Linked DNA regions of Macaca mulatta. The protein of the gene in region 7 binds, or shares a complex with, the protein of the main gene of each other region. Links are inferred from orthologs where the notes say so. Each region holds a gene or a part of one and is shown on either strand. Other genes may lie near its edges.

Region 1 (4,700 bases), on a different chromosome or scaffold from region 7:
TTCTCAGCCACCTCTGAACTCTCTTGTTCTGCATCATGTCTATCAAGGCCCAGAGTTTCTACCTTGTAATGCTCAGCCTCATCTTCTGGGGGCTTCAGTAGCTCCTCAAGTGTGCGGACCTCCTCGCTGGTGATGTCAGCACAGTAGGGCTCCACTGAAGCCCAGAACCTGCAGGGAGAAGCAGATCCTCAGTGGGTACCCCTGCCCCACCAGCGCCTCCACCACCAGAACCTTGAGGCCCCCTTCTATGTTCTCTAGCCCAGAACCTGTTGGGGGCATCATTTTTGGGGATCCGTGGCACGTCGATAGGGTCATCAGTGAATTCATATTCCTGGATCTTGGGCTGAAGGTTTTTGGATTTGGGCCGTCCTGGGCCAGGGCCCGGCCCATGTCCCGCCTTCCCTTCCAGTTTCTGCTTCTTGGGCTTTCCATGTTTCGGGGGAGCTCCAAGTTCATGGTCTCGACCCAGCTTCAGGAATCGTCGGTCACCTTTTTTATCCTGCCAGTCGGTGAGGATCTGAAATGTACAGAAATTGTCACTGAGGGAGAGAAGGGAAAACAAAGAATATTTCTTTCCTCTAGTGAATAAATTAGGATCTAGAATCTAAGGAGTCTCCTGGGTCTTTCCCCATCCTCTTTTTACCTAGTAAACTCTTACTCATCCTTCAAAATTCAGCTCATTTTCTGTGCCTGGCCTCTTACGACTTTATTCATATACTTCTCATCCTCTCATTCACTTGTTCATCTGTGCTTTTGATTCACTTCTTTATCACCCATGCCAGTCACATATTGTTTAACAGAAGAGTCCTCCCAGCAAACCTTCACTTCAATGTCACCACCACTGAGATGCCTTCTCTGAATCAGTTACCCAGGTTCTTAGATGCTAAAATACAACTTGAGTCATAACCTTCCTCAAGGAGCTTCCATGGATTCCCAGGGACAAGTTAATTCCATTCATCCTTTTAGGTCCAGTTGGCACCTCCTTCCTCTACAAGTCTCTGGCACTTCACACCTCCACCGTGCACCCAATCATGCTGTTTGGTCACACTGGAATGACCATCGCACCTTGTTTCTTCAACTAGACCATAAGCTACTGAAGACCAGAAAGCATACCTTAACTATCTCTATTTTGCAGCATACAGCATAGCGCCTGGCACACAAGGCTGAAGGCATCTTTATGCAGTGAATAAAGTAATCAGAGTAGTAAATAAATAACACCTGAAGTGCTTACTTAGTGTCTGGCACTGGGTTGAGTTTTTGCAAAAATTCTCTTTTAATCCTCACAAAAGCACTAAGGTAGGTCCTATTATTCACCCCACTTTGCAGATAGGGAAACTGATACTCGGAGATATGAGAAAACTTTCTCAAAGTCATATAGCTAGGAAACAGCAATGCTAGCAAGTGCTTATGCCAGGATTCAAATCCAGGTCTCCCCATTCCAGTTCCCTAGGACTCCTAACCACAACATCACATCACCTGGTATGCACCTGACTTTCTCCCTTTCCTAGTTGGCAAGCTCCTTGACAGCCAAAACTGTCCTAATTACCTTTCTCTAATGACTAGCGTAGAACCCAGAACATAATGGGGGATGGGTGGGGGGATGCCAAAAAAAGTGTACCGAATTAGAAATCTTGCAATTTAAGAGGATCATGCATATTCTTGTGTATTTTTTGTGTCATGCAAACCCAGTTTGGGTCTCTCTCCCTCTCCCCATAAACCCCTGTATCCCAGGTTTCAGCATATGGAGCTAACTCAATGACCCATCCCATAACTTGTTGCAGTCCATCTCTGGTGATGGCCCCTCTCTGGGGTATCACCTGGGTTTCGGCCTCAAGCACACGCAGGCGCCGGCTGGCAGAAGACAGCAGGGTCTCAAGCTCCAGCTGCAGGGTGTCCAGCTCCTCGATGCCGATGCCATCATCCTCGGATCGCGCCAGCACTGCCGTGTAGCGGGGACAGACCTTCAGGTGATCCACAGACTTGAAGTCATGGAACTGCAAGGGGCAGTCTTTCAACTCACTCATGGCCCAGGATATGGGGATCCTGTGGGGCTGGAGAGGACAGGGCCATTGATGGGAGACAAAGGGGTCTGAGAAAAGCCCAAGGGCTTCTTACCTCCAGGGACAGTCTCAAGCAAGCCAGGCTTCAGTCCCTTACTGACAAAATTGATGGCACAGTTCCTACTCACAGGGCACTTAACTGTGTACCAAGCTAGGCGCAAAGCACTTTATCAGCTTATCTCACTTAATTTCTCACTCAGCACCATGAACAAGGACCGTTGTGATCTCTTTACAGAGAAAGAAACTGAGACTCTGTAAGGGTGGGTATGTGCCTATGCTTCCAAGATGCAATTTGAACCCCGCTATATTGAGTCTGCACCCCTGATCACCATGCTATATTACTATGCATTGCCTTGCCTTTCTGATGCTCTTTCCTTCCCTTCTATTTCTCTTGGGTTCTGCTAAGACTTTGAGTTCCAAGCACCCCATTCTTACCATGTTCTCTGGGACTCTTGGCCTCTTTTCTTATCCTACTCCACCTTTCTCCCTTCTCTAGTCACTAATAGTGGTTTAGAACGTGGGCTGGTAAGCCAGACAGACCCGGGTTCAAGTCCAGGCTTTACCATTCTCTACTTATGTGCCCCGAACATGTTGTTTAACCTTTTTGAGTCTCAGTTTTTCCATCTGTAAAATGGGAACAAAAGAAGTCTCGGTCTGTTTCCCCATTAAAAGTCTGAATCTGAAAAATGGGGATAACAACGGTACCTACCTCCCTGGGATGTTCTGAGGATTAAGAGATGATGCCCGTCAAGAGCCCAGTTCAGTGTCTGGCACAGAAATGGGACTATTTAATGGCTGGCCCCGCCCGGGGGTCGTCCAAATGTCCCGCCTTCAGAGTCCTCGTTCTCTAGGGACACCCTAGCGCGACCCCCGCCCCCTCTACCTCCTCACTGCGGCCTCCTACGGCCCCAGGGCCGCGGGAGGGGGCGGGGAGTTCCGGTCGACGGGAGCAACCGCCCCGGAACTGGCTATGGGCGGGCCCCTTGCAGTTGACGCGGGGGCGGGGAGTCAGCGAGGGCGAGCCTACTGAAGTTTGCCGGGGGTGGGGAGAAGGTGGGCCTCGAGCAAGCCCGCTAGAGGTGGGGTGCGGGTGGTTGGCCTCAGGCGCGCCCCAGGGCATAGCCCGGGGCGGGAGGCGGGAGGCGGGGCTTGGCGGCGGAGATCTCGGCGCTGCAGTTAGCGCCGCTGAGCCCCAGGAGCTGCGGGTAGGAGGGGCGAGAGAAAGGATGGGGGCACAGAACCGGAAGAAACGAAGGGCTCCTCCGCTTCAGCTTGTCCTAATTTGGTGCCCAATCTGAAGCTGGGCTGTACCATTGCATACCTGGGGGGAGGCTGTGGCAAAGGTAACAAGAAGGCCGAAGGCACAAAGGGGAGCTGCTCCCATTCCTGGAGAAGCTTAAGTAGTGACTCGAGTGCAAGAGTTTAAAGATACCGAGACAGCCCTAGGTGGAAAACTTCCGGAAGGGCCAAGCGTTCGCAAGGGTTCCCTATCCCGCTCAGAGCATAGATGGTACCATCCGGAAGTCCGGGCGGAGACAGAGGCTGCGCTTCTCGCGAAAGGGCAGGCATCGCGGGGCTGGCCACTTCCGTACTTCCGCTTTCCGGCCCAGCCAGCGCCCGCGATGGTGAGAGAGCCGGGCCCCCGGCCAGGGACCCCCAGCTGTTCAGCCTCAGGGCAGTGGGTCGGTGGGAGATGTGGCTTTGCCGCAGGGGCGCGGGGCTGAGGGATGCCCGGGGGTTGTGGGGACACCATGAGGGTGGGAGAAAGAGGGCGGGGGCCCGAGGTGAGGAAGGGGCGAGTAGGGGTACTCCCTGGTTTGAAGCGGGCCTTGCGGCTTCGTGATCAGCCTTCCAAGCAGGTAGGGGCTTTTACTGAGCCCTGGAGGAAGCTGGAAGTGGGGCTTCCTAGGCTCTTTGGAGCGTTTCGAGGGTACGTAGTCGGCCTCTTAGCCCGTCGAAGGGCCGCTGAGGCATGTAGCGGGTCCATCTGCCTGTCCACAGTAGAGCTTCACTAAATACGCCCTTTGTCTTCTGCCTTCCTGACCCTACAGTTGCTTAAGGCAGGCGGCCACACTTCCTTATCCCACTCTTGGTACCTCCAGCCCTGCTTCCACCCCACTGGAGGATCTCTCGTGTTGCTTCCATTCAGGCCCCTCCTGGTCAGAACTGAACTGTGTCAGCCCTAGTGTTTGTTAGCTGTGATACTGCTCATCCCTCCCTTCCTGAAAGTCCTCCCTTTTTCATACATGTGGGTATTCTTGGGAGTTGTGACTTTGGATGACCACCTCCCTCATCGTCACACCTTCCCTGGTGATACCGATCTAGTCTGCTGGCTTCGATGACTTTCTTCACTCTGATGACTCCTAATCTGGCTTCTCAGCTCTCTTTGAAGGTTTGCCTGGGTATCTTGAAGAGACCTTGAAATTACACCTCTAGTTCAAAACTCATCTTCCATTCTAAATTTGCTCTTCCTCCTGAGTTCCCTATCCTGGCAAACTTTGTGAACTCGTATCCCTGCTAGAAATCTGGATTTTTTTTTTCTAATGGAGCACATGCGTCTTGATTTTTAAAAATTTAAGTTTTTTGAGGTATTGTATGAGACTACGTCTGTTTTATTCATGAAAGGACAGGCGTCACGGA
Region 2 (4,747 bases), on a different chromosome or scaffold from region 7:
GCTAATCTTTGTATTTTTAGTAGAGACGGGGTTTTGCCATGTTGGCCAGGCTGGTCTCGAACTCCTGACCTCAGGTGACCTGCCCGCCTTGGCCTCCTAAAGTGCTGGGATTACAGGTATGAGCCATTATGCCCAGTCCAAATTAGTCCTTCTTGGCCTCCTAAATCTAAAATTAAATATGTCTTTCTACATTGCAATTAAAAGCTCTACAAAGTTCCCATTTTTCTATCTTAAATAATCTATGCTTCTGTGAAAACAGAATTTAGCTCTCCTCAAATGCCACAATACGTAAGTACCCTAATAAGTTATAGTCCTTGACATTTAGAGGAGCCTTAAGAAGGAGGGAATGCTTTCATTCAATTATATGTTTTGTATAACGATTACTTCTATTTTGCTGATGGACAAACTGAGACAGAGGAATCCACTTAGAAGAGAAGAAAAAAGTTTTAGAGGCACGCGTAACTGGGGTTGGGTCACTCAGTACTGTGTGATTTCAGGCAAAGTATTTAACCTCTCTAAACCTATTTCATTATCTGTACAACGAGACTGACAATATCTAACTTGTGGGGCTGTGATAATTAAATCATAGAATACTCGAAAGTACCTAAGCTGTGCCTGGTTAGTCTGAGTAGGTTTCAGAAAAAGATACTAATATTGAAGTAAGTGACTGGTGCAAGTCTCCCCACCATTCTTATCCAAAAGCAGCCATCCCTAGTAAATGTTTGCACTAAAAATGCAGGACACACTTATTTATGGCTTTCCAAACAGCTTATTAAATAAATAAATAAATAACACTGAGCTTTATTTAAAGGTTCCAGCCAGGTGCAGTGGCTCATGCCTATAATCCCAACATTCTGGGATATCAAGGTGGGAGAATCACTTGAGGACAAGAATTCAACACCAGCCTAGGCAACACAGCCAAACACCGTCTCTACAAAAAAACTTAAAAATTAGCTGGGTGTAGTGGCTCATACCTGTAGTCCCAGCTACCCAGGAGGCTGAGGCAGGAGGAGTGCTTGAGCTCAAGAATATAGGTTGCAGTGAGCTATGATGATGCCACTGCACTCCAATATGGGCAACAAAACAAGACCCTGTCTCAAAAATATAAAAATAAAAATAAAGGTTTCCTTACTATTAAGTGACATTTACTGTATCAATGTCAATGCAGTAATAACACTCAAAGTATCAGAAACTGTAAAAATTTCCAGTTTTTACTGGAAATAAAAACTGGGCCAGGCGTGGTGGCTCATGTCTATAATCCCAGCACTTCGGGAGGCTGAGGTGGGCAGATCACTTTAGGTCAGGAGTTCGAAACCAGCCTGGCCAACATGGTAAAACCCTGTCTCTACTAAAAATACAAAAATTAGCTGGGCATTGTAGCACACACCTGTAATTCCAGCTACTTGAGAGGCTGAGGCAGGAGAATCGTTTGAACCGGGGAAGCAGAGATTGCAGTGAGCTGAGATCGTGCCACTGCACGCCAGCCTGGGTGACTCTGTCTCAAAAAAAGAAAACTGGAAGCGGGGGGAAGTGACTCATGCCTGCAATCCCAGCACTCTGGGAGACCAAGGTGGGAGGATCACTTGAGCCTAGGAGTTTGAGACCAGCCTGGGCAACATAGTGAGATCCTGTTTCTACAAAAAATTTAAAAATTAGCAGGGTGTGGAGGCACATGCCTGTAGTTCCAGCTACTCAGGAGGTATATATAGGTGGGAAGATTGCTTGAGCCTAGGAGGTTGACGTGCATGGTGCCAAGATTGAGCCACTGCACTTCAGCCTGGGCAACAGAGAGAGAACCTGTCTCAAAAAAAAAAAAAAAAAAAAAAAAAAAAAAAAAAAAATTCCCTCCTGAGTTTGAAGATAAAGCAAAGATTCTGGAAGCATTTAAGGAACATTAACCAAGCATCTCATTTGCTACGCACAGAAGGGTACTGTATTAAAATTATGATCTAACCATTGCCTCACTGTAATCCTAAACCTCTTTGAACCTTAGCCTCCTTAAATGTAAAATAGGAGTTTTTAAAAGATGATCTTTTGGGACTCTTCCATCACTGACATTCTTTTACTTGAGATGCAGAGATCTGTGCTCATTCAGGGTTGAGTGGAATGGGATTTAAAGCACTTATCAAGTATATAACTGAGTTCCAACTGTTTTCAACTTCACATCTGATTCCCAAGAATGAAGCAGAAAATGAAGATGTTTGCATGTGGGCTTCCTAGATTGAGTATCTAACACAAGAAAAGCCTGCCAAGAGCCAAGCAGGCAGTGCGAAGGAGAAGTTGTCTTCCCCTGAATACGTCCTTTATCTCTCTGGGTTCAGGGAATACTGTGGAAAAAAAAATGGATCACTAAATCTTTTCCAAACCCTTTCCCTTTACTTTCTAGGCTGATCTCACATCCATGGTCCCTTAGATCCAAGGCTTTTAGGAGCTTGGGTCCTCACCGCCCTGTTCTGAGACTCAGGTACTCGGAGTCTCAAAGCCCGGATCCCGTCCCCAAAGAAGCCCCAGTCTTCACTGCCCGCTTCTGTTCCCTTCCAAACTCAAGTTTTCTCTGTCTGCTTCTGCCCCTCAGGAACCTGAGTCTTCGCTGCCCCGTTTCTGAATCCTTAGGAGGCCGGGTCTTCACTGTCCCGCTTCTGCCTCTTAGAAGCCCAAGTCCTCACCGCTCCACTTTTACCTCTCCGGAGCCCGTGTCTTCACACCCCGTTCCTTTCCGACCCTCTCCTCGTAGGAGTGCGGGTCCTCATAATCCTGCTCCTCTCAGACCACTTTCCCTCAGATGCCGGAGAACTCAGATCCGTCCCCGTTCCCTAAGTCCCGTCTTGGAGCCCAGGTCCCCACAGCCGCGTCTTCTCCGAGCCTGATCCTCTGTCAGTCCCTTCCCAAGAGCCTGAATCCTCACAGCCCCGTCTCGTCCACAACCTGGTCCTTCGAACACTGACCTACTGTAGATCTGGGTCCTGACTCCCTCCTCCCGCTCTTGTTCCTCAACTGCCAGGGCCCAAGACTCACAGGCAGCAGCGTCTATCTCCCCATGATATGCGGAGACTGCCCCAGAGAAGCGTTCGTCTCAGCAGCCGGTCCGACTGCGCGGCCCTCCCCGACTACTTCCGGCACCGCTCCCCGCCTCCAACCCGGAAACGCGCGGCTCTTCCGGCCGGCGGGCGCGCGCCTCGCTTGCGCAGGCGCAGACTGCCCTCCGACACGTGGTGGCGATCTTGAGCTGTGTGTAGCTGTAGCCTGCAGCTTGCGCTTTTAACTGCTTGTAGTTGAGTGGCAGCATGAGCGAGCTCTGCGTATTCCACCCCGGCGTTAAGAATCCTTCACTAGCTTTTCTTCCCGACTCTGCTTATTTATCCATCGGTAGCATGACGGGTAATTGACGCCCTCGGATGGCTTTGAGGTCGCCATTTTTGGTTGGTGCCTTTGTCATGGTGTCAGGACCAGGATATCATCTGGGACACATTACCCCACAGGTATCCTGTTGAACCTCAACGAGGAAGTTGGCAACACAGGAACCGGGAGATGAGACAGATCGGTTGGTTGTGCCTGTGAACTGGCAATTCAGTAATAACAATTGACTGCTGACTGTTTGCCAGGAATTGTGCTAATCCGCTTACCTCCGTTACGCCATTTAATCAGTTAGAGGAGACCTGTGAGAGATTAAGCAAAATTCTAGCTAATAAGTGCAGAGCCTCAGCTTGAACTCAGACCTCACTACTAAGCCAAAGCCTGTCCTGTAGCATTCTCTACAGGACAGTTTTTTGCTGTCAAATGCTTGGTGAGAATTGCTTTTATGTGGCTCACGCCTGTGATCCCAGCACTTTGGGAGGCCGAGGCGGGTGGATCACGAGGTCAGGAGTTCAAGACCAGCCTTGCCAAGATGGTGAAACCCCGTCTCTACTAAAAATACAAAACAATTAGCCGGGCGTGGTGGCACGCGTCTGTAATCGCTACTCCGGAGGTTGAAGCAGAGAACTGCTTAAACCTGGAGGGGCGGAGGTTGCAGTGAGCCGAGATCGCGCCACTGCACTCCGGCCTGGGTGACAGAGCGAGACTCTGTCTCAAAAAAAAAAAGAGAGAACTGTTATTTTTTACTGTATGCTGGAATGTTAGGTATGCAAGTCAGACCCAGTTCCAGCATCTGTAAGGTTCACAGTAAAATGGAGAAGAACCCACAAACACACCAAAAAATGTATAAAGAGCTGTGGGCCGGGCGCGGTGGCTCAAGCCTGTAATCCCAGCACTTTGGGAGGCCGAGACGGGCGGATCACAAGGTCAGGAGATTGAGACCATCCTGGCGAACACGGTGAAACCCCGTCTCTACTAAAAATACATTAAAAAAAACTAGCCGGGCGAGGTGGTGGGCGCCTGTAATCCCAGCTACTCGGGAGGCTGAGGCAGGAGAATGGCATAAACCCGGGAGGCGGAGCTTGCAGTGAGCTGAGATCCGGCCACTGCACTCCAGCCTGGGCTACAGAGCGAGACTCCATCTCAAAAAAAAAAAAAGCTGTGACAGGCCAGTGTGAGCCACAGTATCTGCCAGCAGAAATTAGGAAAGGTGCCCAGATTGGTGCAGCATCCTGCCCTGTCTTTATATCTTCCTAATCCTCATCCTACCACCTTCCCAATCCACCCTCTACACTGCCACCCAATCCAAATTCTCAGATTCAAGTCCTCATGAACATTGGGCTCCAAGCTGTATTCCTAGCCTTATTTCTTTGCCACTGCTCTCCATTCTTTT
Region 3 (2,979 bases), on a different chromosome or scaffold from region 7:
CAATCAGCAAACCTAGCCTCCACTGAGGAGCCTCTGCTCCTCAGAACCCCAAAAGGGAGATTCGGAAGATCCTGGAGTTTGTGGGGCGCTCCCTGCCAGAGGAGACCGTGGACCTCATGGTTCAACACACGTCATTCAAGGAGATGAAGAAGAACCCTATGACCAACTACACCACCGTCCCCCAGGAGTTCATGGACCACAGCATCTCCCCCTTCATGAGGAAAGGTGGGTACCGGCCAGCACGGGGGTTTGGGGCGGGTGGGAGCAGCGGCTGGAGCCTCCCCATAGGCACTCAGGGCCTCCCCTGGGATGAGACTCCAGCTTTGCTCCCTGCCTTCCTCCTCCAGGAATGACTGGGGACTGGAAAACCACCTTCACCGTGGCGCAGAATGAGCGCTTCGATGCGGACTATGCGGAGAAGATGGCAGGCTGCAGCCTCAGCTTCCGCTCTGAGCTGTGAGAGGGGCTCCCGCGGTCACTGCTGAGGGAGTGTGCGAATCAAGCCTGACCAAGCGGCTCAAGAATAAAGTATGATTTGTGTTCAATGCAGAGTCTCCATTTCAAGCCAAGAGAAACCATGAGCTGAAAGAGTGATCGCCCACTGGGGCCAAATACGGCCACCTCCCCACTCCAGCTCCCCAACTTGCCCTATTTGGAGAGGGGAGAGGGTCTGGAGAAGTAAAACCCAGGAGACGAGTGGAGGAGGAATGTCTGTTTAATCCCAGCACATCCTCTGCTGTCCTGCCCTGTGTCGTTGGGGGATGGTGAGTCCACCAGGCAGCGTCACTTTTTCTTGGGCTCCTTACAAGCCACCACGTACCTCTGAGCCACATTCAGGGGAGGGGAATAGCCGTCTGCATAGGAGGTGTCTTCAAATAGGACCGAGTAGTCATCCTGGGGCTGTGTGGCAGGCAGACAGGAGGGCTGCTCAGAGAGCCCCAGGCCAGGACAGGCACCCCCTTCTCCCAGCCTAGACCACAGGAGCCTCTGGGCTGTGGACTCTCAGCCACTCTCATCATCCTTCACTCTGGGGTCAAGATGTCTTGGCCCGGTCCCTGCTGCTACACAGCTCTTTTCTCAGTGGCTGGAGACCCAGGGCAGTGAAAAGGGTGGGGAGAGGAAGGGGCGCTGACTCCCTTCCTAATGGGGCCATAGCTGGAGGGTCTGCTGCCTTTCAGGGACCCAGGGCAACCCAGATGGTGGCAGGTAGGGATCCTAGCCTCAGGTGGCTTGTGTCCCATGTCACCAGGAGCATAAGGGGGTAGGAGCCCGGGGCTCAGGGCAGGAGCTTCCCATCTCAGAGCTAGTTCTCCTAGGAATGCAGAAAGGGAGTTGCTGACTCAGGGCTTGCCAAGACTGCCAGGGCTTGCAAGGGGATGGTGACCTTTGGGGCTGGAGTGGAAGAGGGAGGGCAGCTGGTGGGTGCTGTCAGCTTGGAGCCTGTGAGATAAGGACAAGGGGAGGGAGGGGGTAGAGGACCCCTTGTCTGTCTGATCAGCCTGTTCCTGACATCACCCATGGCCTCTCCCATGGAGGCTGGTTTACCCGCTGTGGGGGTGCGTGGATCAGGGCACGGTAGAAGCAGGTGGTCTGGGGATATAAGGCCAGCACGAGCTGCTCCTTCTGAAACAAGGCCTCGGGGTCCGTCTCTGGGTTGGCCTTCCACTGGGGCAGCGGGATGACACGGCGCCGGCTCAGGGTGTGTCTCCTGGGAGAAGAGGGGCTTATATCAACATGTGGCCAGGTGGGGATGCTCCTTCCCAGACGTTAGGCTGCCCCCAGGCTCCGTGCCCTGCCCTGGCCTAGACACTCACTCTTTGCCTTCTTCATCGATGTCGTCTACCTCATACCTGTGGACAAAAGGAGGAAAACGCTGGATGCAGCCAGGGGTGCAGTCCCTGTCGGGGAGTGAGGATGGGGGAGGACCTGGTGCTCCTTGCACAGTTGGCCTCTGGGGAGCTTTTCTCCTGCTGTGCAGACGGGAAGCAGAGCGGCAGCCCAGGCAAGTTCGGTGACCAGAAAGCAGCCCCGGGGCTGGTGTCACTCACTTGTTGGTGGCATGGCTGTAACTGACCACCTCGGCCAGGATCCACTGCTCGTCCCCATCCACGGCCTTCACCCGGGCAGCCACCTTGTCTCCAGGTCTGGCCACATAGTCCCCTGAGGCGGGGATGGCCCCACAGAGGGGTGGGGGCCTGTGAGCAGAACAAAGGGTCAGTCCCAGCCCCTGGGCACCAGCCCCTCCCTCGCAGCTGCTGCCCTCACTTGTCACCGGGCTTCCCGATCCACAGGGGCAGGGTCATGGCCGACTGCTGCAGCAGGGTCATCAGCACCCCTCTGCGCATGGTCTTCCGGGGTGGCTCCGAGTCATTGTAGAGACCTGCGATCTTGGCCGCTGTGGGAAGGAAGGGAGGCCTGAGGCCCCAGGGACAGGTGCTGGCCCTGACCCCCCAGCATGCTGCACTGAGCTGTTGGAGGACCCCCTGGGAGCGCCCAGTTCCTGAGTGAGCCCGAGGGCCCAGCAGGACTGTGACCCTATCGGCCATGTGTCAACACCTATAGGGGCTGCTGCGCTGAACCACAGTTGAGTGAGAGGGCAGCACAGCGCACACCCAGGGGGAGGAAGCAGAAGAAAGAAAGCAGTTTCCGAGGTGCTGTTCAGGCTGTGTTTGCTGATCTGAATGCTGGTTACAGAAGTGTGTTTAGTTAGTGAATATGTCATTGAACTCTGCACTTACATGTACTTTTCTCCTATTAATATACGTTGTAATTCAATAAAAAGTTAAAAAGAACACAACAGGCCGGGCGCGGTGGCTCAAGTCTGTAATCCCAGCACTTTGGGAGGCCGAGACGGGCGGATCACAAGGTCAGGAGATCGAGACCATCCTGGTTAACATGGTAAAACCCCGTCTCTACTAAAAAATACAAAAAAACTAGCCGGGCGTGGTGGTGGGCGCCTGTAGTCCCAGCTACTCGGGA
Region 4 (3,962 bases), on a different chromosome or scaffold from region 7:
ATATCATTTAAGAACTTACTTTTTAATAAAGAAGGCACTGAAATACTGAAGTTGATAGAGTCCTTGAGATTTATAACCCATGGTTCTCTCAGGCCTCTAAGAACTCCTCTGTTGACCGTCATCTGATAGCTACCTGCTTTCTCTGCTTAACTTCCATGTGTATCCATAGGAATTTTTAGGTCAAGAGAGCACTTACTAGTATGCCAGGGACAAGAGCACCTTGTAAATTTTTAAAGCAAATTTTGAGGGGTCATGTTAGTGTTTGCAAGATTGCAAATATACGTGATCTCACCGTGGCCATCATTGAGTATCAGCGACTGTGCGCCACCTATGTTTGGGCCCTCAGGTGTATGGTCTGGCTGGAGGGGAAGATGCCCACCTGCAAAGATGAACCACTCCTCCACTGGCCTCGCAAACACTCAGCAGGGACTGACTCTGTACAGCCCTCATGCTGGGCACCAAGGACACACACACACAAGGACAAAGTACTACTGCTGCCCTGTCTTCAGGCCCTTACCAGTGACAGATAAGGCAGCAAATCCTCTAAGTGCTCTCCTAGGTTAAAAAGACGCATACTGAGAGATCTCAACTCTTGGGTGGGATGCGGCAGAGAAAGGGAGTGCTATAGAAATAACTGAGAAACTCTCAAGAGAAAACCACCACCCAAAGTAGCACGTATTAATTACTCAGTGAGTGATTTACACAGTCACCGCCTAAGGAGAGAAGGAAAACAATTTCTAGGAAAATGGTTCTCAAGGTTCCTGCCAACATTTGGGAATTATTAAGCAAGTTTCATTAAAAATTGGAGAAACAACTTTTATCATCTTCATCTCCTCTTTAAAAGGAATCTTGCCTGCATAACATATAATCCTCCATACCAAACGGTTTCTAAGTAAAAGTTAACTAAAAAAACTCTAGGGGAAAAAAATCCTTGCATGTTTTTTGATGTTGGTGTATGGTGTGTTTTCTTCAAAGGTGATACAAATATATCAAAGGATGAATTATAATTCAATACTAGAATCAAATCTTAGAAGGTTCATATCAGCCTTATACAGTGATAGTAAAATTAAAAACTATCAGCAATAAAATATGTAGCTAGGCGTGGTGGCTCATGCCCATAATCCTAGCACTTGGGAGGCTGAGGTGGGAGGATTGCTTGAACCCAGGAGTTCAAGTACAGACCAGGCAACACAGTGAGACCCTGTCCCTACAAAAACTCAGCCAGGCATGGTAGTGTGCGCCTGTGGTCCTGGCTACCCAGAAGGCTGAGGCGGGAAAATCACTTGAGCCCAGGAGGTTGAGGCTGCGGTGAGCTATGATTGTGCCACTCCAGCCTGGGTGACAGAATGAGACCGTGTCTCAAAATATATATATAAATTCTTATTGATACAGTTGTGCTAAAATGTTTACAAATATTTTAAAAAATAAAAATAATAGTCCTACCCTCACTTCTCTGAGTTGCGAAGGTGATGATCCTAAGAGCAGTAGCTATTACTAATATGAATAGTCTACCCTAAAGCTCTTGCTTTTGGTGTTTTCTCATTTTATTTACTACACATGTTCACAAACTGGTTTCTATGAAAGCTGGGTCTAAATAATAATCTTATTTTACAGGGTCGGAGATTTTTGTCTGTGTGCTTTGACAACCTCATGAATGCTGTTGACTGGCTTTCTTCACTTGGTTTCCAAGGAAACCATTCCATTGGGCCATGCTGGGAAGGGCTAGCTTAGCTTCATTCCTCCTCCAGGTTGTTCAGGGGAGCCCAGACACAGGTGATAAATCATAAACATAGACAACTTACCTGAATCAGATGATAGATCATGAAAGTTGCAATTCCTGCTCTTCTCCATTCAGGGTGGACAAAGAGAAATGAAATGTAAGCTTCATTGTATTTCACGTCGGGAACCATGAAGCCAAAGGCAATGATGACTTTCTTATAAAGAACAACAACACTGAAGTCTGGGTACTGCAGACACTCAGACAGGTCAATGCCTAAGAAAAGAAACCATCAGAGACTCAAACCACATGCCTTTGAGAATTAAGGAACACCAAGCTGTTCAGCATGTACATATGGCTACACCTGCATGCTAAAAAAAAAAAAAAAACACCAAAACTGGAGGTAACATAGATACCACACGTCCAGATCATAAAAATAAGAATGAATTTTAGAAAACACTGAAATTAACATAGTATTTTCTAAGTACATATATTAAAAGAAGAGTGGCAGAATAGGGTAGGTAGCAGTGCACAGGTTCAGAATTGGACACAGCTGGCTTTGAACTCAGCCTCCTCTACCATGTGTGGCTTGGCACATTTCAAAATGTCTCAGAGACTCCGTTCCTGCAATGCGTAACATGAAGAGCACACCTAGACCTGACAGGGTTGAATAAAGATCCCCCCGAGCGTGTTCTATCACATCCTTTACCCCACACACATATAATTTATAAGCTCTTTTGTACAAACGATACCTTTCACAAAAAATAAGTAAAATATGGTTCTATGCATAATGTATGGAAGGCACCTAACATAAGGGCAGGAAGCAGAAGATGATCCCAGAATGTTACTTTTGGCTCAATATGACTCCCAAAAGAGTGAGTGCAGCTCTGCCACCACATGCACGGTTATGTGATTATGTGACAATAAAGACGACACAGCTCTAATCTTGATGAAATCGTATCTAACACCTGAAAGGTACGTATTATTTCCTTTAGGTTTCAAGGCAGCATGGGAAAGCAGATCCACAAAGAACAGTTTATATTTAGCAATGAAAATGTGTTCCTTTAATTAATGACTTTGGTCTTCAGAGGCAATTTTGTTAAGGCTGATAAAATGACAAATTATACTGGGCCTACCCTTATTCTCAAAGTCTGTGATCAGGGTATTTGGCTTTTAAAAAACACCTTCTGGCTGTACTAACACTCTCTAAGGAACAGCTAAATAAACATAAAGAATTATTAAGCCAAAAACAAAAGTGTCCAAACACGCCCAAGCTACCAGTCTGTGTATCTTTGATAGACATTACCTGGTATCTAAATATATGCAGAAGCAAAACAGGATGAATCTTTTACTCTGGAAGCAGAGACAAACAGGGAAGAGAAACAAACAAAAACACTGTTTATTGCTGGCTTCTTCTAGATTTTAGGAAAATAAGAGGTATTTGTATTTTAGTATTTCTATATTAGCAGAGACAAACTAAATGAAATCATAAATAAAAATCTTAAGGCTATCACATAAACTAATTTTAAAAATTGCTAGAATGGACTGTACAGAAAAATGACCCGCCTGGTTTGGGAGAGGGAACATACCAGGCCAAAAAAACTCCTGACACATGGAGTTGATCGTTGGGATGTGATTTGGCCGCACGTAACAGTAATCGAGAGGCGCGTCGGGCTCCGGCGTCCAGTGAGGGTCGCTCCTGTGCAGGTGGGAACGAATCTGTGACAGGAGCTGCAGTTTGGGTGGCTTTGTTTCATAATCACGCCTCCGGTACCACAGAAGATAAACAAATTCAAGTCAAGAAAAATACCTGGTATTATTCCTAGCTTTTTGACTCATGTAAACTCTTTGATCTGCTTGAAACTTTAAAGTAACCTGCACTGTTTTACACGAAGCTGGCTTGATTACAGCTATACTTTTATGTATGAAACCTAAAATTCACTCTGAACATTCATCAGGCTAAAGCCCTCTGTACCCACCAGGGACTGTGCCAGGTGCCTTCATGAACAAAGTGAGGAAACAGAAATAGCATCAGATTCACCCCGAGGAGTCAGACATGAGGATGCATCTCCAGTGCCTTGGAGGCCAGAAGAGGGAACATTCAACTTTGTGGGGCATTTGGGGAACACCAGAGACAAAGTGAGCTTGGAGCAGGCTCATAAACAGCTTCTCACTGCGCCTGCCCAGGAATGTGGTGCTGGCATGGAGGGTGAGGGTGATCATGGAGCTGCAGGGCAGTTGGAGT
Region 5 (4,578 bases), on a different chromosome or scaffold from region 7:
TTCAAAATCAGTGATGGCAAAGAAAGGAATGAGCAGCACCTTGTTAAAGACAACATTTTTTTTAATGTACAAAGCATATTCCCAAATGTGCTGCATATCAGTGTTCTCCATATTTGAAAAAATATGAAACACCTCAATGCAAACAAGTGATCTGAAACTGATTGCTAATTTGGTACAGAACAAAAACCTACAGTTACCCCATTACAATTATTCTCTATTAACAAGAGAACCAGAAGCAAACAAAACATGCTAACATGGCAAAGAATCATGAATTTAGGCTAGATATGGGGATGAGTGGCTTGAATAAGAAGGTTGCTCAATTTGAGATTGGACATTGCGAAGTATCTTTCTGGCTGTAGACATAGGCTGGAATATCAGTTGTATATCTTGCTGCCAACAAGGGAACAGAAAAGATTTTCCAAGATTCTGTCAAGCCTGGTGATCCCATTTGTCTTTGGAAATGAAAGCCTAATTAAGAGACTCCCTAGGGACAGGTCAAAGGAGTTCTTTTATCTCCATCGTCCTTATCCTAGTTCCTCGATGCGTTAGTCCTTCCCTTTAATGTAGTCTACCCTAAAACTAAAGAATACACATTGTGCAAGTTTCCACCTTTGCTTTCTCTACTGTAAATGCATTAGACTATTAACAGAATGAAGAGTTTTAAATCCCACCTTCCTTATCTCTCAGCTGATGTTTATTTCTTAAAGTGTTTTTGAATAAAATTTGACACTAAAAATTCTTGTAATACTTTTTAAAATTGGATAACACTTTTTAAAAATATTGGAGTCTGACTAAAAGATTACAAAACCCCACGAACATCTTTATAATAAAGCTATTATGATAAATAATACTTTGTAAAATTTCAATTCGGTTTTATGTCCTAATTTCAAAGATTGTGGTTGCATATTATTTATCCAGGTTAAATTCCTGTTGGATTATATTGACAGTGTTTCATTTCTTTGAAACAATTTTAGGGTTAAGAGTCTCTACAGTTATAATGGAGAATATCAACTGTAGTTTCAGTTACTCAGGAGGTTGAGGCAGGTTGAAACTGGGAGGCGGAGGTTGCAGTGAGCTGAGATGGCGCAACTGCACTCCAGTCTGGGCGACAGAGTGAGACTCTGCCTCCAAAACAACAACTTAAAACTTGAAGAGATGAAAATGTTCTATCCAACCATGACAATTCCGTGTGAGTTTTCCAGTGTTTAGAAACACTTGCGGGCACCACTCCATCCCTGACCAGCAAGCTTCCTCCAGAACCACTCCACACCGCCATGTTAAAATGTCAACTTTTAATTTGGGGACTCAAACTACAAAATTTAACTATGTCTCCTCTTACCAAGATTCACAGTGAACATCTGGGAGTCAAGGTAGGCTTCATAACGCTAAACAGACCACAACGCTAATAACCACCTCAAATATAGCCTTCCAGCCTAGCTTTGGTCTGCAATTTCCCACTTCAGAGCCTCGGCGTAATGTCGCAGTTGCAACTGATTGGTGTAACGTGCTTGTCAGTCACATAGAGAGGGTGGGGCCTCAAAGCCTGATCTAAACGAGACGCCGTGTCGTACGTCATCGCCAAGCGACTAAAGCTGGAAGGGAGGGAGCGGGGTTGTGAGCAAACGTTGGTGGTGGTGTTGGTGGTGGTGTTGGTGGTGGTGGTGGTGGTGGTGGTGGTGGTGGTGGTGGTGGTGGTGGGGCGGCCTGAAAAGGCATCATGGCTGCTGCCACGGAGCTTAGTCGCCCGAACAGCGGTGACAGGAGCCTGGAGCGAAGATGCAGCCCTAGCCTCTCCCGAGAGGTGCTCTACGAAATCTTTCGCTCCCTACAAACCCTGGTTGGACAGGTGAGAGGTGGCCGGAGGGACTGGGAATATGGAAGCCATCCGGCCCATCCCTCCATTCTTTTCTTCTAGCAGGGGCCGGGGGCAGCTAGGCCTGCTGAAGTGTGGGATGCCGTCCCTGAAGCCGAGGTCGGGGAGGAGCGCGGGCCCAGCCGCCTCGCTCGGAGTGAGGAGGACGGCGGTACCCGTAGCCGAGTAGTTTACCTTGCAGCTGTCCTCTCCAAGAGTGGGTGAGGTTGGTCTAAGTGAAAACCCGGCTCCGAAAGAGGCAGGCTTGGGGAGAATGAATGTGGAAAAGCTTCACTGCGAATTTAGGAGGCGCCTAGCGCTCAGGGTCCTTTTTCCTCCAACTTACTCTTTATGGGAATTGGTTGGTCAGTAGGCCTGAGATTTATAGAAAAGCGCGCGCTTATTAGCTTTTTCTTGGCCGGGGGGAAGGAGTAATTTGTTCTTATGAGTTACTTGGTTTTGTTTATTTCTTTTTTCCTTGGGGCTGTTTTGGGCATCTATAACCCTTTCAAATGGGGAGGAAAGTAAAAGGAATTCGTTTAAAATACTTCTAGCGTAAAGTTGGATGAGTTATCCATCGTTGATGCTGTTTGCGTTTAGAACTGTCGTTATTTAACTATTAACTAGTTTAACTGACTGATAAATCGCTTTTGCAGAAATGCCATAGTAAAATTGGTTTTGAATTTAGTGGGCTTCTTCGATCAAGTCACTGTTTCGTTTCACGGTGTAAAATTAAAAGCAAGTTTTAAATGAGAAACAATTTAAAAGTACGCTTGTTTACCTGCCTTTTAAAAGGAAATATTTTCTATCTTACATAGACCATTTTCTAGCCGTAAAAGTTTGTTTTGAGGCTGGCACTAGCGCATGTGGACACGGCAGGCATTTGTGTCAAAGATAATGGTAAATTCTTATGAAAATAGAACATTTGTCTGATTTGTGAAAATTATTTTTAAAGCCTTGAGTAGATGGAGAATCAGCTTTTTAAAAAGTTACTATTTTAAAAAATCATAGTGTGTTGTGTCTTACAAAGAACATTACTGTAAGTTAAACGGTTTTATGTAATGACGCAATTATTAATGGAGTCTGCTTAAAGATACAACTTTTAAATTCAGTTGTTTGCCAAGTGCTTACCGAAATCGTTTTTTAAAGGCTTGGGGTGTTTTGTTATATATTCCAGTCTTAAGACCCAAGACCTTTTAAATGGTTTAAAAGTTAGAGAACTTTTTATGGCGACGTTGGAACTTAAGTTTGTTTATTTTCTAATGTCAAGATGAAAAAAGTTTATGCTCACCTATTAACAGAAGATGGAATATTTTTTAAAAATACTGAGCAATGATTTAAACGTTTCTTTTGAAACATTTAGCATACTGAATTTTTCAAACTCATTAGAAAATTTTAAACATTCAAGTACTCTACAAGTAAAGAAGCGATTACAATTTATTTGTGTCACCTGTCAAAAATGTTGACAGTAAATATTTGGTTACTTTACCATGACACAGTGAAGGGACCTCCTATACAGGTGTCAAAAATATGATTGTTTCATCAGTTAAATGCAAACTGTTTTCATAATACTCTATATTTTGAGAAGTATTAAGAGTGAAAGCCAGAGTTCCACACTTGCAAAATTGCCCCCAGAGAAATCAGTATTTTCTTTTGCAACCACTTTAAAAGATTTCTAGAAGGTATGTTGTAACATGCCTAACTTCATCCTGTGTCATCCCTAAGTATCATTGTATTATTAGATCTCAGTAGGAAACATAAAACTGAATGTTAAAAAGAATTTTTTACTTAAGATCACAAAATTTACTAATTTTAACCTTTTTGCTTGCCTCTGGATGGTCCATCTTACCAAGCTAAACACTTACTTATTTTTAGCTTGGATTTTTGTATTAATTTAGTAAAGTGTTTACTGAAAATATTTATTTAAATAGTCTATATTAATAGCAGACTAATAGAGATTTTCGAGTGAATGGTTTACTCTTCCAAGTTCTGTAGGGCAAAATGCATAGAATTCATATTACTAATAATGAATTTGTTGAATGAATAGTTAGGTGTATTAGAATAGTTTTAAATTAATTTGTGACATTATTATGTGAGTTTCTTAAAAGACCAGTTATTCTTAATTGCACTTGAAGCTTATGTAATTCTGCTGAATTGAAATGACACTATGAACGAAACATTAAGACTTATTTTTCTATAAGTTATTTTCTCTAGAAAATGTGATACTTTGCTTTGGTTGAGGATTTGCCTGCTTTATCCCCAAGCTGTATTCTTAAGTTTTCTGTGATCAACTGTAGATCTCTTTGAAGACTATGAAAGTACAATAATAGGTTACTTCCATACATAATACAGGTTGTTGTCTAACAAAATCTTTATAGGAATTAAAATAATGTAAATGAATGCATTCACTTTAACGTAAAATCTTAACATATTATAATCTTTGCCAGTGCAGCCTACATGAAATTTCATGTATCTTTACGCTTGTCTAATATGGACTTCTAAATGCTTCTGTTCTCATCTTCATTTCTGTCACAAAGTATTCAATATATTATCTTTTTATTGGTAACCTTACATCTTTTTGATCTTTGTACAGTGATTCATCTTTTTTATTATAATTATGACTAATAAAATCTGTATTTGAACTCATGTAACACCTTTATTTTGTAGAAAAGATGACTCATTTTGAATAAATTATGTTAAGTTGATTCCACTATGAAGTGTATTCT
Region 6 (3,859 bases), about 20 Mb from region 7:
ATTTTGATACTGAGGGCAGTGAGGGGATTCAGGGTGACAAGGTGCCCTCCCTGGCCACACAGCACAGGATGACATCAGCTCAGACCTGTCTCCCTGTGCTACACAGCATGGTGAAACTGAGCTTCTTTGATCTCTGTCCTGGATGTGTCCTGTTGTCTTACCTTCAATTGGAGGCTCCCAGAAGACAGGGGCTGTCCCCTCTTTCAGGTCCCCAGTTCCCTAAGAGCAGGGTCTGCTCTGACCAGCCTCCAGTCCCTCTGCCGCCTGGCCCAGGCTGCACCCTTGGAGAACAGAGTTGTGGGACAGACTGTGTCCTCCCTACAGATTCCTGTCCATGCTGGAGGAGGAGATCTATGGGGCAAACTCTCCAATCTGGGAGTCAGGCTTCACCATGCCACCCTCAGAGGGGACACAGCTGGTGCCCCGGCCAGGTATGTGCCATGGTATGCTCTGTAGGGTGTCTGGCCTGCCTGGCTGAGCTAAGCCTCCTGGGTGGAAGAGGGCTCAGCTGGGCCAGAGGCCCTGGATCCCACTGAGGGACCTGCCACCAGCTTCAGCCCTCCCGTCCCTGACTTCTCTCTCTCTCTGTCTCCCTTGTCCCTGACTTCTCTCCCTCTCTCTCCTCAGCTTCAGTCCCCCCGTCCCTGACTTCTCTCTCTCTCTCCTCAGCTTCAGTCCCCTTGTCCCTGACCTCTCTCTCTCTCCCCTTAGCTTCAGTCCCCCGGTCCCTGACTTCTCTCTCTCTCTGTCTCAGCTTCAGTCCCCCGGTCCCTGACCTCTCTCTCTCTCTCCTCAGCTTCGGTCAGTGCAGCAGTTGTTCCCAGCACCCCCATCTTCAGCCCCAGCATGGGCGGAGGCAGCAACAGCTCTCTGAGTCTGGATTCTGCAGGGGCCGAGCCTATGCCAGGTAGATACTTGATCCCTGACCTCTGACCATCATTCACTCCTTCCCAAACCTTTTTTTACTGATCCTGACCAACCTTGCCTGCCTCCCCAATAGGCGAGAAGAGGAAGCTCCCGGAGAACCTGACCCTGGAGGATGCCAAGAGGCTCCGTGTGATGGGCGACATCCCCATGGAGCTAGTCAATGAGGTCATGCTGACCATCACTGACCCTGCTGCCATGCTGGGGCCTGAGGTGGGCAGCCCGACCTGCTGACCAGTTGGGGGACCCCCACCAACCTGAAACCCCAGCTCACCGCCCCTCTTCTGTGCCCAGACGAGCCTGCTTTCGGCCAATGCGGCCCGGGATGAGACAGCCCGCCTGGAGGAGCGCCGTGGCATCATTGAGTTCCACGTCATTGGCAACTCGCTGACGCCCAAGGCCAACCGGCGGGTGTTGCTGTGGCTCGTGGGGCTGCAGAATGTCTTTTCCCACCAGCTGCCACGCATGCCTAAGGAGTATATCGCCCGCCTCGTCTTTGACCCGTGCGTCCCCCAGAGAGCCCCTCCCCCAGGGCAGGACCCCCGGGTCCCTTCCTCCTCGGCCTCTTGACTCCTCAAAATTGGAGATCCCCTGCTCCCCACTTCTGAAGTTCAACCTTTGATCATTCTTATTTCTCACTGCCCAACCCTGACTACAGTTCAGACTTCCAGGGCTCTGGGGACCTGAAGGAAACAGGCAGGGGCTGTGACGTGCCCACCTCTCTCTTAGGAAGCACAAGACTCTGGCCTTGATCAAGGATGGGCGGGTCATCGGTGGCATCTGCTTCCGCATGTTTCCCACCCAGGGCTTCACGGAGATTGTCTTCTGTGCTGTCACCTCGAATGAGCAGGTCAAGGTGAGTGCCGCTCCCCAGCCCACGGCTCGCTCCGGAGTTTGGGCCAGCTCGGAGCAGCGGGAGGTGTGGGATGCAGCAGCCCCTGGCTCTTCTCTTAGTGGCCCGTTCCTCACATCCCCACAAGGTGGCAGCCGTACTTTGATAACTGTGGATTAGGAAACCACCTGTTCACAGACAGAGCCCAAGAAGCGGCCACGCTTTGGTGACCTGTGGACTAGGATTTTCTTCATCACAAGAACATTTACATACATGGGGGAATTAATTACTTTAATTTTTATTTTTTATTTATTTTTTGAAACAGGGTCTCTCTCAGCCAGGCCGGAGTGCAGAGGCATGATCAGGACTCACTGCAGCCTTGACCTCCCAGGCTCAAGTGATTCTCGTGCCTTGGCTTCCCAAGTAGCTGGGACTACAGGCATGCGCCATTACATCTGGCTAACTTTTGTGTTTTAGCAGAGACAGGGTTTTACCATGTTGCCCAGGCTAGTCTCCAACTCCTGACCTCAAGTGATTCACCTGCCTCGGCCTCCCAAAGTGCTGGGATTACAGGTGTGAGCCACGGTGACCAGCCGAACTAACCGTTATTACAGTAGTCCTATGCTGATAGCCTTGGCTTCTGTCCTTTGTTACAACAGACCCCCTCGTAGGGTCGCTGGCTCTGTGTGTCACATACCTCAGATCTGCGTGGCGCATCGTTGGCCCTGATGTGTGGGAGCCATTGCTCCTGCTCAGGCCTCTGGTGACTCCCTCTCCCTCCTCTCCCAACTCTGAGGCCCAGGGACTGGGAATTGCTGGCCTGTGTTGGGTTTGGACCCGGCCCTGCCACGGCTGGCAGCCTGACCTTGAACGCATTTCCTAACATAGCTGTTTCAGTTTTCTCTTTTCTAAAATAGAGGTGGTACTACTCGCCTCTGGGGTTGAGAATCGGTCTGTAAAACAGGAAGCACTGCACCTGGCCCAGAGTGAGCTTAGAAAGCCTCTACCTTTCACTTTCCCCCATAAACTCCCCTCCCTCTGTCAGCTGCCTTTCTTCCTCTTTGCCTGGATGCTCTCCCTCTCCCCACCTCCTTTCCAATCCACCCGCTCCACTCTGGGCTCTGAGACCTCTCCAGCACCAGGCCCATCCTCAGCTCCTGGTGAGTCCTGCTCCCCTCCCCCACAGGGTTATGGGACCCACCTGATGAACCACCTGAAGGAGTATCATATCAAGCACAACATTCTCTACTTCCTCACCTACGCGGACGAGTATGCCATCGGCTACTTCAAAAAGCAGGTGACCCGTAGCCTTATCCCACACTGGTCCTTTGCCTGAAGCCTGGGGTCATTCTGTCCAGCCCCTCTGTGGATGGAGTAGGAGTCCCTTTATGTCCCCTACTTCACCTGACACCTGCCAGGAAAGTCTCCATGCCTATCTTCTTTCCTCTGCTGCCACTGCCCCAGGGGAGAATGGGGGCCTATGGGGCCAGTAGAGCAGGCTGGAGGAACTGGGGGGCCAGTAGAGCAGGCTGGAGGAATTGGGGGGCCAGTAGAGCAGCCTGGAGGAACTGGGGGACCAGTAGAGAAGGCCGGAGGAACTGGGGGCCAGTAGAGCAGGCTGGAGGAACTGGGGGGCCAGTAGAGCAGGCTGGAGGAACTGGGGGGCCAGTAGAGCAGGCTGGAACTGGGGGGCTGGTAGAGCAGGCCGGAGGAACTGGGGGGCCAGTAGAGCAGCCTGGAGGAACTGGGGGGCCAGTAGAGCAGCCTGGAGGAACTGGGGGGCCAGTAGAGCAGCCTGGAGGAACTGGGGGGCCAGTAGAGAAGGCCGGAGGAACTGGGGGGGCCAGTAGAGCAGGCTGGAGGAACTGGGGGGCCAGTAGAGCAGCCTGGAGGAACTGGGGGGCCAGTAGAGAAGGCCAGAGGAACTGGGGAGCCAGAGCAGGCTGGAGGAACTGGGGGGGCCAGTAGAGCAGGCTGGAGGAACTGGGGGGCCAGTAGAGAAGGCCAGAGGAACTGGGGAGTCAGAGCAGGCTGGAGGAACTGGGGGGCCAGTAGAGCAGGCCGGAGGAACTGGGGGGCCAGTAGAGCAGGCCGGAGGAACTG
Region 7 (4,723 bases):
CTCACAGCTTTTTATCTAGCATTTTTCACATTCTACTTTGTATTACTTCTGAATGTGTATTTTACCCCACTTTTAAATTAAGTGAAAGCAGGCTGGGTATGGTAGCTCATGCCTGTAACTCCAGTACTTTGGGAGGCTGAGGCAGGTGAATCTCCTGAGGTCAGGAGTTTCAGACCAGCCTGGAGCAACACAGTGAGACCCCCATCTCTAAAAAATTAGCTTGACGTGGTGGCGGGTGCCTATAATCCCAGCTACTCGGGAGGCTGAGGCATGAGAGTTGCTTGAACCCGGCAGGTGGAGGTTGCAGAGAGCCAAGATTGTGCCACTGCACTCCAGCCTGGGCTACAGTGGAAGATCCTGTCTCAAAAATAAATAATAAATAAATAAGTGAAAGCAGAGAATATATCGGATACATATTTGCATTCTTTTAAAATGCCAAGCATACAGGAGGAATACAATAAACACATAGTAGTGGACCAATAAATGTTAGTTCTACAAAAGGTTAATTCATCTTTAGTTTTTCTGAAGTGATTTTTTTCACCCTGGTAATTTTTAGCTTGGAGAATAATTCATCACTAAGTGTGGGCAACATTCCACTAACGCTGCCGTCAAAGAACTTTTCCTTTTTGGGGTGCGGTAGGTCTCCTTTGCTGTTGTCTCAGGAAAAGTTGAGCTCTGAAGAAAAATGACTCTAGCAAGGGTGTATTATGAATGCAGCAATCAAATAACAGCCAAATTTACTGAACTTTTTCCATTTGCTAGGTACCCGCGGGTACCTCGGTGTGGGGATTCTTTGAATCCTCACTCCCACACTCCTGAGGCAAGCTGCTTTTTCAAAAGCAAGCAAGCTCTGAAAGAGTATGTTACTTGTGCAGTGTCTTACAAGGGATAGCAGTGTCATTTCAAACACAGATGTCAAGGCTGGTAGTGGTGGCTCACGCCTGTAATTGCAGCACTTTAGGAGGCCAAGGCGGCAGATCATCTGAAGTCGGGAGTTCCAGATCAGCCTGACCAACACGGAGAAACCCTGTCTCTACTAAAAATACAAAATTAGCTGGGCGTGGTGGCACATGCCTGTAATCACAGGTACTTGGGAAGCTGAGGCAAGAGAACTGCTTGAACCCGGGAGGCAGAGGTTGCTGCGAGCCGAGAACGCGTCGCTGCACTCCAGCCTAAGCAACTCAGGTTGCAAAGTGCAAAACTCCGTTTCAAAAAAAAACAGATGTCCAGTAAAGGATGCAGTCAATATGGACTGATCAACACTCAAAACAGCACAGCAGGAGGCCGGGCGCGGTGGCTTATGCCTGTAATCCCAGTACTCTGGGAGTCCCAGATGGGCAGATCACCTGAGGTCAAGAGTTCAAGAGCAGCCTGGCCAACACAGCGAAACCCCGGCTCTACTAAAAATATAAAAAATAGGCCGGGTGCGGTGGCTCAGGCCTGTAATCCCAGCACTTTGGGAGGCCAAGGCGGGTGGATCATGAGGTCAGGAGATTGAGACCATCCTGCTAACACGGTGAAATCCTGTCTCTACTAAAAATACAAAAAATTAGCCGGGCGTGGTGGCGGGCGCCTGTAGTCCCAGCTACTCAGGAGGCTGAGGCAGGAGAATGGCGTGAACCCAGGAGGCGGAGCTTGCAGTGAGCCGAGATTGCGCCACTGCACTCCAGCCTGGGAGACAGAGCAAGACTCCGTCTCAAACAAAAACAAAAACAAAAACAAAAACAAAAAATAGCCAGGCGTGGTTGCGGGCGCCTGTAATCCCAGCTACTCGGGAGGCTGAGGCAGGAGAATGGCGTAAACCCGGGAGGCGGAACTCCGGGAGGCGGAACTTGCAGTGAGCTGAAATCCGGCCACTGTACTCCAGCCCGGGCGACAGAGCGAGACTCCGTCTCAAAAAAAAAAAAAAAAAAAAAAAAAAGGCCGGGCGCGGTGGCTCAAGCCTGTAATCCCAGCACTTTGGGACGGGCGGATCACGAGGTCAGGAGATCGAAACCATCCTGGCTAACACAGTGAAACCCCGTCTCTACTAAAAATACAAAAACTTAGCCGGGCGAGGTGGCAGGCGCCTGTAGTCCCAGCTACTCGGGAGGCTGAGGCAGGAGAATGGCGTGAACCCGGGAGGCGGAGCTTGCAGTGAGCTGAGATCCGGCCACTGCACTCCAGCCTGGGTGACAGAGCGAGACTCCGTTTCAAAAAAAAAAAAAAAAAAAAAAAATTGTAGGGCCGCGCGCGGTGGCTCACACCTGCAATCCCAGCACTTTGGGAAGCCAAGGCGGAAGGATCACTTAAGGTCACGAGTTGGAGACCAGCCTGGCCAACATGGTGAAACCCCACCTCTACTAAAAATACAAAAATTAGCTGGGCGTGGTGGCACGAGAATCGCTTGAGCCTGGGAGGCGGAGGTTGCAGTGAGTTGAAATCGTGCCACTGCACTGCACTACAGCCTAGGAGAAAATAAAAAAAAAAAAAAAAGCAAAAAAAGCACAATATTGCAGTCTGCAGAACCTTCTTTCTCCTCCTTTCACAAGAGACCACATTCTGACACCAACTTCCGTGGAAGCACAGGAGCCAGCTCCAAACTAACAATCGCCAAATTCGAATCAGTTACCGGGTGAAGTGAGACACTATGCCGGGCAGAAGTCCACGTGGGGAGGAGAAAAGGCGCAGGCTCCGGAGGTGTGGAGCCAACGTTCAAATCCTTACGAGGTGGGACCGGCCTGGGCCAGTCATTTTACCTGCGCCTCGGCTCTAACAGGGTACTGAAATACCTACTTTGGAGGGCCTGCTAAGAAATTCAAATGGTCTGGTCAGGGGCATCACGCACAGTGGCCGTCCTTGGTAGAGCCACGGGCTCCAGGGCTGAGCGTGGAATGGCGAGGCTGGGGCACTGCGGCACCGCCCAGACGCGGGGCGGGCACCAGGGGTCAGGCCGGGTCCCGCGCCGCCCTCCCCCACAGCGCGGCGAGGCCCGGCACCACCCGCCCGCCAGCCCGGCGCGTCCCGCCCGCCGTTGAGGCCCGCAGCCCGCGCCTCCTCCCCTGGCGCACCTCGCGGCCCCCGCTTCCCCGTAGTCCCGCTAGAGGGGCTCGCTCCCCGCCACCCGCCAGCCCAGCGCTGCCTGGCGCCTCACCTCGCCGAGTCCCCCTAATCCGCGCCAAGGAGCCGCCGGTCGCGCGCGCCTCCGGGCTTTGCGTGCGCGCCCCCGGGCGGCGCAGTGGCGAACGCGCTTCGTGCCGCGCGCCCGCCGCCTCCGCCCCTCGGCTGTGGAGGCCCCCAGCGGGTGCTGAGCGCCAGCCGCCGCCCCCTTGGCCTTTTCCCGGCCACCGCCCGTCGCCCGTCGCTGTCCCTGTGCCTGAGGACTGGGAGGATGGGGCTAAGCCGCTTGCCTGACTTTTGATCCGCCAAGTAATCACTTTGTCCGTGTGGCGCGTGGCCCGTTGCCGGAGGCTTCCCAGCGCGTGGGGCCGTTTGGTCCCCTCCGGAGTGCGGTGAGGCGGGCCAAGCCGGGACTGCCTGGGTTTGGGGATAACGTTCCCACCCCCACCCCTGTTGCAGCAAGGGAAATTGAGGCTGAGGGAACTGGGCCCAGGGACGGCGAGCCGTGGCTGCCTCTCCAGTCCGGGCCCTGAAGGGCTGCTCGTGGATGAACCAGACTGATTTTTAAGGGGTGAAGAGGGTGCGTTTCAATCAGATGCTTCTGGAACGTCGAAATTGTCTTCTTTGGAAAGAACCATCCCCTCTTTGGGCTTCAGAGGCCCAAATTGAGGCGCGATGATGAGAGGATGTGGTGGTCTACTCTGATGTCAATCTTGAGGGCTAGGTATGTCCCAACATCTCTTATTACTGCTGCTAATGATGATTCTAATAGCTACCATTTGTCGAGTACTTGTTGCATGCCAGACGTTGCACAAAGCAGGTTACACATATGGTCTCATTTAAAACTTGTGAGGTAGGCACCTGTTGTTATCCCCATTTTCCAGGTGAAGAAATCTAGGCACTGACATATAACTTGGAATCACACTGCTAGGAAGTACTGGGGAAGGGAAATCAAACCATGGTTTATCTCAAGTATGTAACTGTTACATCTATTTAGAAGTCTGCCTTTGATAAATTTGCCCAGCCATTTTTAGAATCCACTTACACTTTATGCCTGTGTGAACCCTTTCGTTCTTTTTTGGTATATGCATAATACAAGTTCATTTTTTTTTTTTTTTTTGAGACGGAGTCTGGCTCTGTCGCCCAGGCTGGAGTGCAGTGGCCGGATCTTGTATTTAACCTGTCATAGCAAAGATGACTAAGTGCCTTATTCCCTCACTAAATATCTCTGTAAAGGAACCTGAGAAACCACCTTTTTTCCTCTTTAAGCTGTAAATTTATATTAATAATATCCAAATCCATGTTGAACCAGTATTTTTGAAGATTGACCTTCAGGATAAACTAATAGCACAATCTTCATGCCCTTTCATTCTTAACTAACTGAAAAGGTTGACTTTTGTACTAGGAACCCAACGAAGAAAACTTGCATCTTGTCAAGCTAGGTAACCTGGCTGCCATTAACTGAGACCAAAATATCCCAGCAGTTTGTCTTCAGCTGCTAAGCTGCTATGGTTAGAATCAAAAGTAGAGTTTCTGGCCTGGTGCGGTGGCTCATGCCTGTAATCTCAACACTTTGAGAGTCCTAGGTGGGAAAATTGCTTGAGCTCAGGAGTTCAAGACTAAA

What was found.
Region 1: TADA2A (region 7) and TADA3 share a complex: the UniProt entries of both Homo sapiens proteins name them as parts of the ADA2A-containing complex. The link is inferred for Macaca mulatta from reciprocal best matches to the Homo sapiens genes TADA2A and TADA3.
Region 2: TADA2A (region 7) and TAF12 share a complex: the UniProt entries of both Homo sapiens proteins name them as parts of the PCAF complex. The link is inferred for Macaca mulatta from reciprocal best matches to the Homo sapiens genes TADA2A and TAF12.
Region 3: TADA2A (region 7) and SGF29 share a complex: the UniProt entries of both Homo sapiens proteins name them as parts of the ADA2A-containing complex. The link is inferred for Macaca mulatta from reciprocal best matches to the Homo sapiens genes TADA2A and SGF29.
Region 4: TADA2A (region 7) and KAT14 share a complex: the UniProt entries of both Homo sapiens proteins name them as parts of the ADA2A-containing complex. The link is inferred for Macaca mulatta from reciprocal best matches to the Homo sapiens genes TADA2A and KAT14.
Region 5: TADA2A (region 7) and MBIP share a complex: the UniProt entries of both Homo sapiens proteins name them as parts of the ADA2A-containing complex. The link is inferred for Macaca mulatta from reciprocal best matches to the Homo sapiens genes TADA2A and MBIP.
Region 6: TADA2A (region 7) and KAT2A share a complex: the UniProt entries of both Homo sapiens proteins name them as parts of the ADA2A-containing complex. The link is inferred for Macaca mulatta from reciprocal best matches to the Homo sapiens genes TADA2A and KAT2A.

Annotation. Positions count from the first base shown.
Region 1 is NC_133407.1:148,575,988-148,580,687, forward strand, and holds the start of TADA3 (transcriptional adapter 3), read right to left. Parts: upstream 3,018-4,700; 5' UTR 2,770-3,017; intron 2,052-2,769; 5' UTR 2,025-2,051; coding exon 1,818-2,024; intron 518-1,817; coding exon 267-517; intron 169-266; coding exon 63-168; intron 1-62. Other genes in the region: ARPC4 (actin-related protein 2/3 complex subunit 4), read left to right, coding at 3,568-3,735. UniProt on the Homo sapiens protein: Functions as a component of the PCAF complex. The PCAF complex is capable of efficiently acetylating histones in a nucleosomal context. The PCAF complex could be considered as the human version of the yeast SAGA complex.
Region 2 is NC_133406.1:212,257,585-212,262,331, reverse strand, and holds the start of TAF12 (transcription initiation factor TFIID subunit 12), read right to left. Parts: upstream 3,110-4,747; 5' UTR 1,295-3,109; intron 1-1,294. UniProt on the Homo sapiens protein: The TFIID basal transcription factor complex plays a major role in the initiation of RNA polymerase II (Pol II)-dependent transcription.
Region 3 is NC_133425.1:28,316,637-28,319,615, reverse strand, and holds the end of SGF29 (SAGA-associated factor 29), read right to left. Parts: intron 2,800-2,979; exon of another isoform or gene 2,396-2,799; coding exon 2,266-2,395; exon of another isoform or gene 2,196-2,265; coding exon 2,049-2,195; exon of another isoform or gene 1,851-2,048; coding exon 1,815-1,850; exon of another isoform or gene 1,709-1,814; coding exon 1,546-1,708; exon of another isoform or gene 901-1,545; coding exon 784-900; 3' UTR 700-783; downstream 1-699. Other genes in the region: sulfotransferase 1A1, read left to right, coding at 45-225, 348-456, 551-581. UniProt on the Homo sapiens protein: Chromatin reader component of some histone acetyltransferase (HAT) SAGA-type complexes like the TFTC-HAT, ATAC or STAGA complexes.
Region 4 is NC_133415.1:65,817,344-65,821,305, forward strand, and holds part of KAT14 (cysteine-rich protein 2-binding protein), read right to left. Parts: intron 3,483-3,962; coding exon 3,307-3,482; intron 1,994-3,306; coding exon 1,803-1,993; intron 1-1,802. UniProt on the Homo sapiens protein: Component of the ATAC complex, a complex with histone acetyltransferase activity on histones H3 and H4. May function as a scaffold for the ATAC complex to promote ATAC complex stability. Has also weak histone acetyltransferase activity toward histone H4.
Region 5 is NC_133412.1:109,438,961-109,443,538, reverse strand, and holds the start of MBIP (MAP3K12-binding inhibitory protein 1), read left to right. Parts: upstream 1-1,574; 5' UTR 1,575-1,717; coding exon 1,718-1,846; intron 1,847-4,578. UniProt on the Homo sapiens protein: Inhibits the MAP3K12 activity to induce the activation of the JNK/SAPK pathway. Component of the ATAC complex, a complex with histone acetyltransferase activity on histones H3 and H4.
Region 6 is NC_133421.1:66,453,882-66,457,740, reverse strand, and holds part of KAT2A (histone acetyltransferase KAT2A), read left to right. Parts: intron 1-324; coding exon 325-431; intron 432-796; coding exon 797-907; intron 908-1,000; coding exon 1,001-1,137; intron 1,138-1,218; coding exon 1,219-1,427; intron 1,428-1,653; coding exon 1,654-1,780; intron 1,781-2,942; coding exon 2,943-3,053; intron 3,054-3,859. UniProt on the Homo sapiens protein: Protein lysine acyltransferase that can act as a acetyltransferase, glutaryltransferase, succinyltransferase or malonyltransferase, depending on the context.
Region 7 is NC_133421.1:46,862,294-46,867,016, forward strand, and holds the start of TADA2A (transcriptional adapter 2-alpha), read right to left. Parts: upstream 3,198-4,723; 5' UTR 3,134-3,197; intron 1-3,133. Other genes in the region: ACACA (acetyl-CoA carboxylase 1 precursor), read left to right, coding at 3,786-3,823. UniProt on the Homo sapiens protein: Component of the ATAC complex, a complex with histone acetyltransferase activity on histones H3 and H4. Required for the function of some acidic activation domains, which activate transcription from a distant site. Binds double-stranded DNA.